Linked DNA regions of Canis lupus familiaris. The protein of the gene in region 1 purifies or fractionates together with the protein of each later gene. This does not show direct contact. Links are inferred from orthologs where the notes say so. Each region holds a gene or a part of one and is shown on either strand. Other genes may lie near its edges. The genes, in order: FTSJ1 and WDR6.

Region 1 (7,555 bases):
CTCCCAGGGGACAACGACTGGGCCTATGGTGATGGACTAGGGTGTGAACAATTCTGTGGTAACACAGATGAGGGGTGTGCTCCTAAGGACACACAAGGGGTCACTCAGACTATGGTAAATGCTCAACTGGGGACACATGGTATGGGATACACATGCCTCTGTAGACAAATTGACTTGGGTGTGGAAAATTCAGGGGTCACATGGAGGGATGTGGAGTTGCAAGGGTATGGTATCCAAACTCAGAGCCAGACAGGGTGCTCCCAAAGTTGGGAGACTGAAACTGAGTTAGGCTGGCCCTTCCTGGGCCACACATTCAGGGCTTGGGACACTGCTGGGTCACACAGTCTGGGGATTGGAAATTATTCCCATCACAGGGACTTGTGTGTATATGCCAGATATCATACAGATGGGGTTGGATGCGATTATGGACACAAAACCTGATATGTGGGTATTTGCTGGGTCTCAAGGGCTGGTGTGTTTATACTCCTGGAGATTTAGTTGGCTACTCCTGGGGCCTCAGCCTCTAGTGTGGACACTTTGAATTTACATGGTAATAGGTACAGATATGCCATGGCCATGTAGGCTTTTGCGCAGATACTTCTGTTATACATTTCCAGAATCACACTGCTTGGGTGAGAAGACTCCTGGTTTGACATTGTGTAGTGTGCCCCATCCCCAACATCCAGCGTTATAGACTCAGTATGGACATGCCCAGGTTCACACCGTCAAGGACAGAGACATCTAGGGTCACCAACTGGGATGTGGGTGGTCCTGAGGTCACCAAATTGAGGTGTACACAGAGAATGTGTTTCTAACCAAAAAAAAAAAAAAAAAAAAGAGAATGTGTTTCTAGACACAGGTGTAAGCTACAGAAACTAGTTCTGCCTGTGTAGCTGGTGAGCTTGGCAGCTCCTGTTGGCTAACTTGTAGAAATTCAGCACTGCAGTCAAGGCAGACTTTCTGACATCGCTTATAGGGGTTCTTGTTGCAGAGATATGAGAAAAAACTACTTGTCTGTCGACAGATGAATGGATAAAGTGTGGTATATGTATTTATATATACAATAGAAGATTACTTGGCCATGGAAAGGAAATCCTGCCATTTGTGAGACAGATGGACCTCAAGTCCATTGTGCTAAGTGCAATAAGTTAGAGAAAGACAAATACTATGAAGTGAAGATCTTGTATGTGTAATCTAAAAAAGCCCAAACTCCTAGAAACAGACAATAAATCGATGGTTGCCAGAGGCAGGGGTCAAATGGGTGAAGGTGGTCAAAAGGTACAAACTTCAAGTTATAAGTTTAGGGCTGTAAGGTACTGGATAGTGACTATGATTATCCAGATCATATATTTGAAAGGTTCTAAGAGAGTAGATCTTGGGGATGCCTGAGTATCTCAGTCAGATGGGCTTGTCTTTGGCTTGGGTTGTGGTCTTGGCGTGGTCCCGGGATCGAGCACTGTGTCGGGATCGAGCACTGTGTCGGGCTCCCTGCTCAGCAGGGAGCCTGCTCTTATCTCTCTCCCCCTCCTCACCCCTGCACTCTTTCTCTCTCAAATGGCTAAATAAAATATTTAGAAAAGAGAGAGATCTTGGGACACTTGGGTGGCTCAGCATTTGAGTGTCTGCCTTCAGCTCAGAGCATGATCCTGGAGTCCCCGGATCAAGTCCCGCATCAGGTTCCCTACAAGGGGGCCTGCTTCTCCCTCTGACTATGTCTCTGCCTCTCTCTCTGTGTCTCCCATGAATAAATAAAATAAAATCTTAAAAAAAGAGAGAAGAGAGAGAGATCTTAAAAGTTCCTATCACAGGAAAAAATTTCTGTGAGGTGATGCATATTAACTTACTGTAATCATTCTGCAATAAGTATACATTGAATTAGGTTGTATACTTTAAATTTATGTCTTATGTTAATGAGAACAAATATTACTATATATATTAAAATGAAACAACACTGGCATACAGTAATATATGGACTTTTTTATTAGTACATCAAATTATAAGATCTTCTATAAGTCAAAGTAGTGCCAAACGTGAACAGCATCTTAAGATGCCTGCAAAAACTGTAATGGAACATAAAAAGTAACTAATTTGTATTGGTGGGAAGGTAAAAGGTAACAGGCACTGCTTTTACTATTGTGATTTGTTGCCAGTATTCCTATTGGGGAGTAAAGCTAAATTTTAGTTATATTAGTGAAATTTCAGTTATATTAGTGAAAATAAAGATGTAAGATTTTCCTCCATCAGGTTCACAGATACCCCTGATTTCTATACGGTGAAGAACCCCTACTTTGGGGGTAAACTCTAGAAATAATCAGGACACCTCTGGAAAGATTTAGAAAGGAGGCAAGGCCTCGCTCAAAAATCCCCTCTGTGGTGTAGACAGGCATACTGTGCTGTTGCTTTCCTTGCTGGGCTCCTGCTAGTTGTTGTGGGTTACCATTCAGGGCTTGAATGTTCAGGACCCGTTGATGAGATATTTGAAAATGAGTTCATCAATGTAAGTTCTTTCGTTTTCCTGTCGCCAAACAGCTTCTGGGTTGTAGTAGACTGCCAGCTACCTAAAATCAGGGACAGAGAAAATTTTAAACATACATTCTCCCATAATTATTTTTCACTCAACTACTAACATTTCTTTTTAAAGATTTTATTTATTTATTCATGAGAAACACACACACACACACAGGCAGAGACAATGGCAGAGGGAGCAGGTTCCCCACAGGGAACCTGATGTAGGATTCAATTCCCAGACCTGGGATCATGCCCTAAGCTGAAGACAGGCATCCCAATAAATAAAATCTTTAAAGAAATGTCAGTACTTGGGACCCCTGGGTGGCTCAGCAGTTGAGTGTCTGCCTTCGGCCCAGGGCGTGATCCTGGAGTCCCAGGATTGAGTCCCATATCAGGCTTCTTTCATGGAACCTGCTTCTTCTCTCTCTGCCTGCGTCTCTGCCTCTCTTTCTGTGTCTCTCATGAATAAATAAAAAATTTTTAAAAACTTAAAAAAATTTTATTTATTTATTTGACAGGCAGAGAGAGAGCACAAGCAGAGGGAGAGGCAAAGTGAGAAGCAGCCTCCGCCTTGAGCAGGAAGCCTGATTGTGGGGCTTGATTCTAGGACCCCGGGATCATCCTGAGCCCAAGGCAGATGCCCAACTGACAGAGCCACCCAGGTGCCCCAGTACTAACATTTTTTTGACCTTCCCCCCTACCACTTCTATTGTGAACTGTAACATACAGAAAAATACACACTTACATGTTTTATATAGGTTCAGTTTAAGGACTGACAAGGTGTTTTCATAATTGTAGTATGTTCATTCTCATTGCTGTGTAATTCCCCACTGTGAATATACCATGATTTAATGATCCACTCTGCAGTTAATAGATGTTTGGGCTATATCTAGCCTGAGGGTACAAATAGTGCCAGTGAAGAATTCTGGTACTTATTTCTTAGGAGCAGAACTGGCCCCTCGCTACTCCCTTACACACCAGCCATAGTTCTACCTCAGGATCTTTGCATTTGCTACTCTCTCTCCGTGGAACATTCTTCCCCTAGATGAACACATGCATTCCCTCCCTCACCTCCTTTAGGTCTTGGCTCAAACATTACCTCAGTAAGCCCTTCCATGATAACCCATTTAAAAACTGAAAAACTGCCACCCCTGAAATTCCTGATTCTGTTTACCTTACTTTATTAAAAATAATTCTTGGGATGCCTGGGTGGCTCAGCAATTAAGCATCTGCCTTCAGCTCAGGGTGTGATCCTGGAGACCCGGGATCAAGTCCCACATCAGGCTCCCCGCATGGAGCCTGCCTCTCTGTGTGTCTCTCATGAATAAATAAATAAAATCTTTAAAAAAATTTTTATATCCCTTATTACCTTTACATATATATATGATATATATATAAATATACCTTTATATCTACAGTATAATTTAAGCTATATATACTGAAATGAAAGCTAGAAATGTGTATGTGTACAAGTATGCATATATAATGTATCTATGTGTATGCCGTGTGTAGAAACTCCTGCATTCATAAGCTGTTTTTATTACCCCTTTCCCAATCTGGAAGCTCCACCAGCACCAGAATATTTGCCTGTTCTGTTCCCTGCTTTATCTCCCAAACTAGAACAATGCCTGGCACACAGCGTGTGGTTAAGAAACAGTTTGCTGGGATCCCTGGGTGGCGCAGCGGTTTGGCGCCTGCCTTTGGTGCAGGGCGCAATCCTGGAGACCCGGGATCGAATCCCACATCGGGCTCCCGGTGCATGGAGCCTGCTTCTCCCTCTGCCTATGTCTCTGCCTCTCTCTCTCTCTCTCTCTGTGTGTGTGACTATCATAAATAAATAAATTAATTAATTAAAAAAAAAAAGAAACAGTTTGCTGAATGCCTCCATACCTAAAACACTGAAAGCAGTTCTTGGCATGTGACATCAGGTACTTAGTAAAGGTGGGCTGACTGAAATCTTATCAGTTGATATAAACATTTCAAAGGTGAAATTTTCCTGAGTTTTTTTCTTAAAGGTGCTCTTCACTCAAACTATTAGCTAAAAAGGCAAATTTACCTGAGTGTATTAAGGCGAACAATTCATTTCACTGTCTTCCACCTACCCAAGAAAAAGAAAAATGACTCAGGTACTTGCCAAGCTTTTCCATTCATTACACTTGGTTTTACCCATCAACTTTTTATAGTTGCTGGGAGGCAGGGATGAGCATTCTACCCTGCCCCAGAACCACGCCATTTGGGGACAGAGAGAGGTACACTAAGAGGGGCTCACTGTGGGCTCAGAGAAAGGGCACAGAGGGCCCTGGGCCACAGGTTTCCGGACCTCAGGGGCCAGCAGGGTGTGGCGCTGTGGGGCCGCCAGGGGCTGGGACAGCGTGTCCACTGTGCTGATGGGGCAGTCCTGGGGGCGGAGCTCCTTGGCCAGCCGCCCCTTCTTCTTCAACGTGCAGGCCTCCTGGTACGGTGGCGAGATGGGGGGCTGCGTGGGTGGAGTGTACTTATATTCTGAGCCGTCCTCTAGCTGCAGGGACACATTGGGGGAAGATGGTGAGGATATGAGAACCCAGGAGAGCCCCTCTACCCCGCCATCCCCTGCCTACTATTGGTTGGGCACTCACGTCCAGTGGGTAACTGCGGTCTGAATCATAGGAGCTCAGGTCTCCACAGGTCACAAATGGCACAATGATGCGAGTGGGACCATCTAATTGGTTGAAATCTGGATCTGACAAGCAGGGAGAAATAAGACAGGACAGGACTGGGATGCCTGGGACCAGTTGGGACTCCTTCTACAGCAAGGGTACAGAATCCTTCCTATGTACCTACCAGCTACTCTCACACTCCTCCACCAGAAATCCTTCATTTTGTTCAGATCACCTCCTCAGGGAGCCCCTCCAAGATCACCTGTTCTAGAGCATCCCCCTCTCCTGCTCTTCTCACACTGCGCCTTATGTTCACCTGCCATTCTACCATAAGCTGCCTGAACCCTGTCTCACTCAAGTGTGTTCACCTTAAGAGCAGGCTCTGTGCCTTTTCCCTCTAGGGACCAGGCTAAAGACTCTCTCGAGGCCAAATTCCCATGCAGGGGTGGAGTATCCACCTGGGTGCGTGACCCAGTCTTCTTAGGCTAGAAACTTAGGTGGGCGTAATCTCCACTGGGGCAGGACTTGGGACCCAAGAGTAACCATGAGAAGACTGGGATGAAGATCCTCCTGGGACAAAACATCCATACAGGGGTGGGGCTGAGGGCCCTCCTAAGACATACATTCCATAAGGGGGTAGAGTCTCCCCAGGGAGGGGGCCCAGAACTCTGGCTCTCACCGTACGAATGGTCCAGCAGGGGTTTGGTCAGGTCTGGAAGGAAGCCTTCAGGGGGGTCATAACCCTGACAGACAGCGAAGGCCTCTGTGGGTGGAAGGTAGAGCGAGGGGTGACTGCTACCTCCACCCCACACAAGATGCATCCCCAAGATTCGTGTCTGCCTGCCTGTCCGTTGCACCCCACTGACCTATGCTGGAGTTGCGGCTGCTCCTGGGCTTAGCACAGAGCACATTAGAGAAGAAGACTCGCAGCTGGCTGTAGATCAGGGTCACATCCCGGCCTCGGAAGATCTGTAGGGCGAGGAGACAGGGGATGAAGGCACAAGGGCGGCCCTGGAGGACCCTTATTTTGCCCTCACCAGGTCCTCCAATGCTCACCTTGGCTACAAAGCATCCCCCTGGCTTCAAGACATGTGTAGCAATATTCAGAGCCTGTGGGCAGGACAAATGGCTAAGGCTGAGGTGGAGACAGGCATGAGGGGTCCAAACTGAGGCAGGGGTGGCCAAGGTTACTCACGGCTAGGAGGAGCTGGGCCTGCATATATTCATCAACATCATGGAGGCCAGTTACTGCAGCAAGAAGAACAGTGTTAGGAGGGCCAGCCGGTTCTGGCTATCTCCTCATCCCAGACAGGTCAGGATGCTACAACCATTTCCCAGGCTCTCCTCCTACTGAGGTTCTGCACGCAAATTACCACCTGCCAACTGGATGCGTGTTCTGGGCTCTGAACCCTTAGGAACTCATTCTAATTTTCCAAACCACCTTATATACAAGTATCATTATTATTATTTCTTACCTCCAACCCAGACTGCTCCTCTGAGCACCTGACTCACAGATCAGACTGGACATCTCAGACTCAGCATGTCCAAGACCAGACTCCTGACCTTTCTGCTCAAACCTCTCTCCTTACCCCACTTTTCCCATTCCATCTGATCTTTCCAGCTGTTCTAGGCCAAAAACCTCAGTAACCTTGACATACTCTGTTCTCTCCTCACATCCATGTTGAAGCGTTAGCAAGTCCTGTTGGCTGTACTTGCAGAAGATCTGCTGGATTGATCCTCTCATCTCTGCCACCACCACTCTGGGCTACACTGTCCACCTGGGCTACTGCAGTCGCCTCCTACTCCCACCCTTGCCCCCTCACACTGCTCAGAGCAGCCAGAGGGGTCCGGTCATAAGCTGAGCCAGGCATGGCCCTCCTCTGCTCACAACCGTCTCATGTTTTTTTTCTGAGTTCTCATCTCAAGGAAAAAGCCACAATGCTCACTGGGGCCCACGAGGACCCCACACAAGGACCTTCCCCCACCCTGTCTCTCTGACCTCCCCTGCTACCACTTTCCCCCTCACTCCCTCTAATCTAACAATTCTGATCCTTTTTTTAAAAAAATATTTATTTATTAATGAGAGACAGAGAGAGATGCAGAGACACAGGAAGAGAGAGGAGAAGCAGGCTCCATGCAGGGAGCCTGATGTGGGACTCTATCCCAGGACTCTGGGATCATGCCCTGAGCCGAAAGCAGATGCTCAACCGCTGAGCCACCCAGGCGTCCCTAACCACTATGATCCTCACAGGCCCTCGCATATGCCAAACATCCTCCACCTTGGGGCCTTTGCACTGGCTGGTCCCTCTACTTGGACTGTTCTTTCTCCATATATGCCCCTGGACTACTCCCCTCACCTCTGTTAGGTCTTTGTGTTAAAGTCCTGGGGGCCTTTCCGTCCACTTTACTTA
Region 2 (8,172 bases), on another chromosome or scaffold:
CAGTCAGACATGTTCCACAGCCCAGAGCGCCAGAGCTCCCGGAAGCGGCCAGGTCCCCAGCTAACTTTCACAATTCGGAGTCCCTTGCTCCCAAACACAGCCACCATAGCTTCCGAGTCAACGTCTCCATTTGGTTCTGGTCGCACCCGGAACCCATGGATAAGATAGTGACCAAGCAGGTTCTGCACACGCTTCATCATCCGCAGATGGCCACCAAAATCGAGGCTGTACACCAGGACATCTGGCCCCTCACCTAGACAGAAGCAGAGAGCCACATCAGAACCTCACTCAACTCTGATAAGCCATGAAGAGACAGGGGCAGGGAAAATTCGGGTATATAGCCTGTGAATGCTCTAGAACACACAATCCTGCTGGCTTGAACCCTGGAAAACCCTTGGCCTCAGCTTCAGCTGGACTTTTAATGCGGACTCTCAGGTGCCTACAGTCACTCCAGACACCTCGGTTCAACCTGGCTTCCTCAAACACAGCCTCTTCCTCACCTCACCTAACTTCTCATGCTTCCAGCAGGAACCCTCGCAGTCTTCATCCCAAATCTGCAATGGCATCTGCCTCTATGCACTCTTCCCACCCTCCCTCCCCTAGGGAAGAGGGGGTCCTCAAAGGTGATCCTCCCATGTTTGGGACATAACAGAACCCCTCTGGATTTCCAAGAGCTTCTTCCATACAGCTCAGATGTGAGCATATTCAACACTGACATGAAAAACCAGGAGAGATGGCCCCCACATCGGTAGCCAAGGCTCCCATGACCCTCAACTGCCTTCTGGCTGCCTGGTGAATTTGTTGATTTTTTTTTTTTTTCTCCCCTCTTACTCAATGCTTTTCACTCCACTGCTCACTCCATTGACTGTTACCAGCCTCTACTCAGCTCCAGCCCCAGCCCCAGCCCCAGCCTCAAACCAGGAAGATCATGGCTTATTCCCCCCTAAGCTTTCCACATCTTCTCATGTTCTCAGTCTCCAAGTCCCCTGTGCTCATTTTCTAAAGATTTTGCAAATCCTCCTCACCACACTGATTGTGGTCCAGGATATCAACTTCTTTTTTTTTTTTTAATTGAAACTACTTTTTTTTTTTTTTTAAAGATTTTATTTATTTATTCATGATAGTCACACAAAGAGAGAGAGAGGCAGAGACACAGGCAGAGGGAGAAGCAGGCTCCATGCAGGGAGCCTGACGTGGGATTCGATCCCAGGTCTCCAGGGTCACGCCCTGGGCCAAAGGCAGGCGCCAAACCACTGCGCCACCCAGGGATCCCTAAACTACTTTATTTTTTGTAAGATTTTATTTATTTATTCATGAGACATAGAGTGAGAGGCAGAGACACAGGCAGAGGGAGAAGCAGGCTCCATGCAGGGATCCCGACCTGGGACTCAATCCCAGGACCCTGGGATTACACCCTGAGCAGACGCTCAACCGCTGAGCCACCCAGGCATCCCTAGGATATCAACCTTTTAACCTGAGATCTTAACCTGAGATGACACTAATAGTCTCTCATGCCATTCTGAGCCTGCAATCTCCATCTTTCCACACTTGACATTCACTGAGCATCGATTATACACCAGACAAGGAACTACACGCTGGGTAGTGAGTAAGACAAACACAGACCCAAGGCTCCTGATCATCAGGCAGAAGCTAAACAGTATCACCCGGGATCCCTGGGTGGCACAGAGGTTTGGTGCCTGCCTTTGGCCCAGGGCACTATCCTGGAGACCCGGGATCGAGTCCCACATCGGGCTCCTGGTGCATGGAGCCTGCTTCTCCCTCTGTCTGTGTCTCTGCCTCTCTCTCTCTCTGTGTGACTATCATAAATAAATAAATTAATTAAAAAATAAATAAGTAAATAAACAGTATCACCCAAATAAACTACATTGTTACATAACTTCGGTAAATTCCAAGAAAGAACTATACAGGCTGCTTTAACATAAAAGAGGGAAATCGACTTCTGTGATTTTTCCCTCCAGAAGACATTTAGCAGTATCTGGAGACATTTTTGGTTGTCACAACTGGGTTATGTTAACTGGAATCTAGGAGTAGAAGCCTTGCTGTCTGTGATTTGAAACGTCCTGTGAATCACAGACAGCCCCTCACCCAAAAAATGACCTGGGGGAAAGGGTGCAAGGTTTGAAAGATGGCAGACAACATGGACCAGCAACAAACTACCAACACCGTAGAAGAGCCCCTGGATCTCATCAGGCTCAGCCTGGATGAGCGAATTTATGTGAAACTGAGAAATGACCGAGAGCTTCGAGGCAGATTACATGCTTATGATCAGCATTTAAATATGATATTGGGGGATCCCTGGGTGGCGCAGCGGTTTGGCGCCTGCCTTTGGCCCAGGGTGCGATCCTGGAGACCCAGGATCGAATCCCACATCGGGCTCCCGGTGCATAGAGCCTGCTTCTCCTTCTGCCTGTGTCTCTGCCTCTCTCTCTCTCTCTGTGACTATCATAAATAAATAAAAATTTAAAAAAAATAAATAAATAAATAAATAAATATGATATTGGGAGATGTGGAAGAAACTGTGACTACTATAGAAATTGATGAAGAAACATATGAAGAGATATATAAATCAACAAAACGGAATATTCCGATGCTTTTTGTCTGGGGAGATTGTGTTGTACTAGTTGCTCCTCCATTAAGAGTTGGCTGAAACAAAGAATTTATCGTGTATGGAATACAGGAGATTTTGTATGATTGCCTCTTTAAATGTAGAAGACATCAAAAGAGAAACCTGCATTCATTTTGATATTAAGAAATGACCAAGGATTCTTCCACTCCTGAAATGAGTTGATTTGCAGATAACTCAAAAATTCTTAAGCTAAAGGGTGTTTAATTTTTTTCCCAACTCTTTCAATAAATGTGATCACCAGGATGCAGAACTCTTTGTTTTTTTATTTTTTATTTTTTTAATACTTTTTTTTTTCTTTATTTATTTATGATAGTCACACAGAGAGAGAGAGGCAGAGACACAGGCAGAGGGAGAAGCAGGCTCCATGCACCCGGAGCCCGACGTGGGATTCGATCCCGGGTCTCCAGGATCGCGCCCTGGGCCAAAGGCAGGCGCAAAACCGCTGCGCCACCCAGGGATCCCCAGGATGCAGAACTCTTTGTTCAGGAATTCATTTGCTCTGTTGTTTTCTCAGACAATTTCTGTTATTTTTTTCCTTTAAATTAAATTTCATGTTTCCTTTTTTAAATTAAAAAAAAAAAAAAAAAAAAAAAAAGACCTGGGCCAAACATCAACAGTGCAGAGACTGAGAAACTCTAGTGCCATCTAAGCAGACTTGGTGACTATCAGGGCAGGCCACCCTGAGAAATAAATAAGCTGTGGTAACCAGAGGAAGAGCAGGCATGCGGGGGAGATGGATGAACCTTTCTGGACGAAAGGAACAGCAAGTTTGATGGAGGTGAGCAAGAACTCTAGGTCATGTGGTTGGAATAGGAAACAAAGGGCTGGGGGATGGACTAAGAGAATGCTGCTGATGGGGTCCAGGAGCCAAAGTTGCATAGCCTCGAATGATGGCAATAAGTAGAGAAACAGACAGATGCCACAACTTTGTAGTCAAAATCAACCAGACTGGCTTGAGGACTGAGGGAGTGGCTTGGGCTTGAGCACCTGGGTGGCTGTTGTTCCCCTTGCTCAGCTGGAGTACCCAGCAGGAGTATTTCAATTTTAAAGCACCTGTGCACTTGGGCCTAGAACTTATAAACAAAGAAGGCTGGAAATTGAGATTATAAGTGCACATAGGTAGAATCTGAGAATTGTAAAAATATAAAAATCACTTTGGAAGTCACAGGAGCAGAATTCACTTGAAGAGCTTTCTAACCCGCATTTCCTAAATCATTTCCCTGCTTAAAACCCTTCAAAGGGCCTCTCTCCACGACCCACCATTAAGTCAGATCTAGGTATAAAATAAAACAATCTGGCCTCTGCTCATTTCTCCAGCCTCTTCTCCCAGACTCCACTCCTGCTCAGTCTCCCAGGAACTCCCTCTCTTCCCCAAAGTAACAAATTATCAGCATCAAGGCCTTTAGCAGGCTTATCCTCACCAAGAACTCACCTCTTCTCTTCTCTTAGCTCATTCCTGTGATTCTTTGGGTTTCTGCCTACCTATCCCCTTCTGCAAGAGCCTTAGAAGTCTAACCCATGATAGGAACCTTGGACTCCCAGAGCTCCCACACCAGATCCCTCCTCTTGCACAAAACCATTCTCTCAGGGGACGCCGAGTGGCTCAGCTGTTGAGCGTCTGCCTTTGGCTCAGGGCGTGATCCCAGAGTTCTGGGATCAAGTCCCACATCAGGCTCCCTGCATGGAGCCCGTTTCTCCCTCTGCCTATGTCTCTGCCTCTCCCTCTGTGTGTCTCTCTTGAATAAGTAAATAACATCTTAAAAAAAAAAAAAAAAAACCACACCCCCCCCCCCCCATAGGATAGGAATCTCATTCAAGGCTTGAGAGTCAATGTCCTGCCTCAGGAACCTTAAAAGACCCAGCAGCACCACCATCAGTAACTAGTGGCTTCCATTCGGTCCTCGATGCTCTCCAGGGTTCTGCTGCTTCAGATGGCCCATGCTTCTCGACCTGACCTTCCGCGAAAGGCCATCAACATTGGATTCCCTGGATGCAACTATCTCAGAAGAGGCCTCGGGGTCTGCCTCCGCAGCCACTGGCCCAATCGGAAAGGTTTCATCCTTGGTTTCCTGGTTTCCCGCCACCCATCCTCGTCATAATCACCTTCCAAGGAGAAGCCTCACCCGCCCCTCGGAGGCCAGAGCCCCGTCTACCGGGCCCCGCCCACCCCCACCCTCCCCAGATGCCACACCACAGACCCTCCCCTCCCAACTCCCCAACCTTGAGGGGGCTCACCTCCAACCTACCAGCTCCGCTCCCGGAAGGGGCCACACACCGTTCTCCCTCTCTTCCCCGCCTCCCAAGCCACTGCGGTTCCCCGTGCTTTCCCGCGGCCCCACCGCCCTTTCCATGTCAGATGCAGATTGTGAAGGAACTCGACAGCCACATCGGGTTGGTTTTTTTTTTTTTTTTCCTTTGGGGCCCCTCCGGCCGGGTCTCCAGCCCATCTCCTGGGTTCCCGCCCACCTCGGTCGGGCTTCATCCGGCCGCCCGCCCTCCTCCTTAGGGGCATCCCTTTGTTCTCATGGTCCCGCCCCATGCGAGCGCCCGGGTTCTTATCCGCTAGCGCGCGCCTCGAGCCAAACCTCACCCGCCAACAGCCGATCCCCCACGCACTCCAGACCCGTGACCGGGAGCAGTATGAGCTCGGAGGTTGCCCGCGGCCAAACGTAGTCCTCGGGAGCGTCCATGACGATCCTCTAGCCGCGGCGCCTTCCTTTGCCAAGAAGGGATCTGGGCTCTCGCGAGACGAACCTTCCTCGCGCGCAGCCGAGCCGATCTGCAGCGGCCTTGGCAACAGGTAGCCGAGCCCAGGGTCGCCCGCGGCCGGTGTCCAATCACGACCCTTCGCCCCACGCAAGCCAGCTCGTCATTGGCGAAGGCGTCCTCGCCCCTCCCCCTGACGTGAGGCTCGCCGAGCGCTGCGGCCCACCCCTACAGGCCGGGTCAGCCTGCCCCCGACCCCACCTGCGCCTTCGCGGCCCAGCAGCTCAAAGCCGTGTAGTTTTATTGGAGGGGGCATAATGGGTCTGTACACAATAAATAACACGAATATAGGAACGGTGCCCTAGTCGCGGCTGGAGACGGGATGGGGCAAGACCTCGGCCGAGCCTTTGGCCTGCATCTGGACAGGCGAACGGCGGGTCCCCAGACCTGGGGCGGCAGGAGGCCTGTGGCTGGGGGCTGAGGCCCGCCCTGCCCTCAGAGCTCCACGCGCGCGTCGCGGTAGGCCCGGTCCACGGCCCACTCTGGCTGGGAGTCGGCGCCACCTTCTCGGGCCAGGCGCGCCATCTCCTGCTGGAACAGTGCCTGCCGAGCCCGGCTGGGATCCACATTGATCCAGTTGTTGGCAATCCACTTAGTGCCGCGTGTGACCAGGCAGCCCCCGTGCAGCGAGTAGTCATCCACGTCGCCCACCCAACCTAGAGAGGAGGATGGTGTGAGCAAAGGAGGGGACCAGAGGGACTCTAGGCTGTGCTGACCTGAGCTTGACCTCATAGGGGCCAAGGGCATGGCCAGGGTGGGCCCAGCTGCGCACACATGTAGGGGCAAAGTCTGGCCCCAAGGTCTCCTTGGGGCATGGTATCTCTCTCCAACTAATGCACTGACAAAACTACTGGTCTGAAACCAGCCTTCTTGCTCCTAGTCCTGTCCACAGCCTGAGTCAATGACAGATGTGTCCCCAGCCCCAGTGAGCTGGAAGGCTAGAGCATCACGGAATCCATTACAGACCTCAAGGTAACCCAGGAGGCTACACAGGTGCGTGCCCCTGAAGTCACTGAGGATGGTCTTTTGGAGGCACCAGGGACAGAAGAACATTTGTAGGGGTGCCAGAAACATCCCACCAGGGTGGCTGTCTGGGCTGGGTAGGCTTCCCTCATGGTACCCTTGGCCTGGCCACAGGCCCTCACCTTGTCCATCAGGCAGGTAGTTGTACCAGAAGACTGCTGTGCCCTGCCGGGGCTTGACACGCAGATTCCCCTTGTCACAATGCCTCCGAGTGTCGCGGAGATCAACATCATCCTGAATCAGACTCTGTGGGCAGCAGGATGCTGGGGTTCTCAAACTGCCCCCACTGTACGCCCAAGGGCCAGGGCCAGGAAGCCAAAAGTGGCCAGAGGGAAACCAGTCAGAAGTGCCCAGGGGATCACTTAGGCGCATCATCCCAGGTCTGGAGGGGTATATACTATGATTGCCCAAGGCCTTGCCATCCCACCAGAGTAACAGCCTGGTTGGCCCTTACCATTTCATCGTAGGTTCTGTTGTCTGCTACAGGGAAGACAGTCTCGCCCCCACCGGTGACGTTGTTCAAATAAAACAGCACTGTCATGTAGCTGTAAGGCAGGGGGCCTGCTGAGCAGCTGTGGACACTCCCACGGGCTTACCTGTGGGCAGGATAAGCTGCCCAGGTTCCCAAGGGCAAGAGGGGCAGGCTGAGATCAGTAACACTGCACATCAGTGCCAAGATGTCCCTAAGCCAGTCCTTCCTCCCACAAACCCAGTCTCTATGTATCAGACTGTTTTGTGTGATCACAGGTGCACTTCGCTAAATTGCATGGCTGGCAGGGAAAGGTATGCGAGCAGAAGCAGCACAACCATGCAGGAGGGCTGGCTGGGAATAGAAGGGGCTGACCCAGAGCAGTCACACGAAGGGTAGAGACCTGCCGACCTGCCCCCCTGCCTCAGCAGGGAAGGGGGACAAAGCTTCAAAGAGAGAAGCTGAAGCCTCCAGCAGTGGAGAAGAATCAAGACCCAGGGGAGAGGGGGGCAAAAAAAGCTGGAGACTCAGCCTTGCCCCATGCCTCAGAGCTCTGGGAACAAGTGTTACTGTCTGTGGGTACCTTAGTTTAGCCACCCCTTTCCTGCCACTTGGTAAACAAACTGCAGGGAAAGATGGGGTATCCTCAGACGGATGGCCCAGCGCTCCCCTGGCCTGACACCAGGGGTATACCGGTAGGGCAGGGCTGTGTTTATGTCATGGGAATGCCTAGTCTGGGAGTTGAAGGCCACCCCAGGTGGGAGGTACTTGCCGGCAGGAGGTCTCGAAGGGTACAGACTCATTGGCTACCAGCTTGGTATGGGAGCAGATGGTCTCTGGGTACACAGGCCCGCTGTCCACATGGGCATGGTAGTGGCCTCCCTCGCCATACCGCACAACCTGCAGTGGCTCACTGAGCTCCACGATTTCAGGTGACAGGCGGGTGAGGCGGAGCACCCTGGTGGACAGCAGGCATTCAGCTGAGCAGTCCCATGCAAGGTGGTGCCCTGGAGAAGCCAGACCCCGGACCTGCCACCAGCTCTACCACTGCCCAACTCCCCTGAAAGCCCCTGACATCAACCCCAGACTGGCCCGGTAGGAGCAGGAAGGGGTTACTCATGAGCCCTTCTCCCTGGATGCCAGAGACTGCGTTGGGTGGGGAAGATGAGATTTCCACTAAATTGGGAGTGGGGGTCACTCCCTCCAGGAAGGAGGTTGCTTATCTAAAACCCCTGGCTGCTCAAGGGCAGGGGGGCCTGTGGACAGA

What was found.
Region 2: the proteins of FTSJ1 (region 1) and WDR6 purify together in Homo sapiens (affinity purification with mass spectrometry; 3 studies listed by BioGRID and IntAct, with this or other methods). This does not show direct contact. The link is inferred for Canis lupus familiaris from reciprocal best matches to the Homo sapiens genes FTSJ1 and WDR6.

What each region holds. Positions count from the first base shown.
Region 1 is NC_049260.1:41,933,868-41,941,422, reverse strand, and holds the end of FTSJ1 (putative tRNA (cytidine(32)/guanosine(34)-2'-O)-methyltransferase), read right to left. Parts: intron 6,393-7,555; coding exon 6,340-6,392; intron 6,255-6,339; coding exon 6,201-6,254; intron 6,114-6,200; coding exon 6,011-6,113; intron 5,908-6,010; coding exon 5,824-5,907; intron 5,228-5,823; coding exon 5,124-5,227; intron 5,027-5,123; coding exon 4,778-5,026; intron 4,607-4,777; coding exon 4,574-4,606; 3' UTR 4,565-4,573; intron 2,559-4,564; 3' UTR 1,958-2,558; downstream 1-1,957. UniProt on the Homo sapiens protein: Methylates the 2'-O-ribose of nucleotides at positions 32 and 34 of the tRNA anticodon loop of substrate tRNAs. Requisite for faithful cytoplasmic translation.
Region 2 is NC_049241.1:40,559,388-40,567,559, forward strand, and holds the start of WDR6 (WD repeat-containing protein 6), read right to left. Parts: upstream 5,479-8,172; 5' UTR 5,338-5,478; coding exon 5,238-5,337; intron 254-5,237; coding exon 1-253. Other genes in the region: P4HTM (transmembrane prolyl 4-hydroxylase), read right to left, coding at 5,849-6,069, 6,559-6,682, 6,891-6,981, 7,678-7,863. UniProt on the Homo sapiens protein: Together with methyltransferase FTSJ1, methylates the 2'-O-ribose of nucleotides at position 34 of the tRNA anticodon loop of substrate tRNAs. Required for the correct positioning of the substrate tRNA for methylation.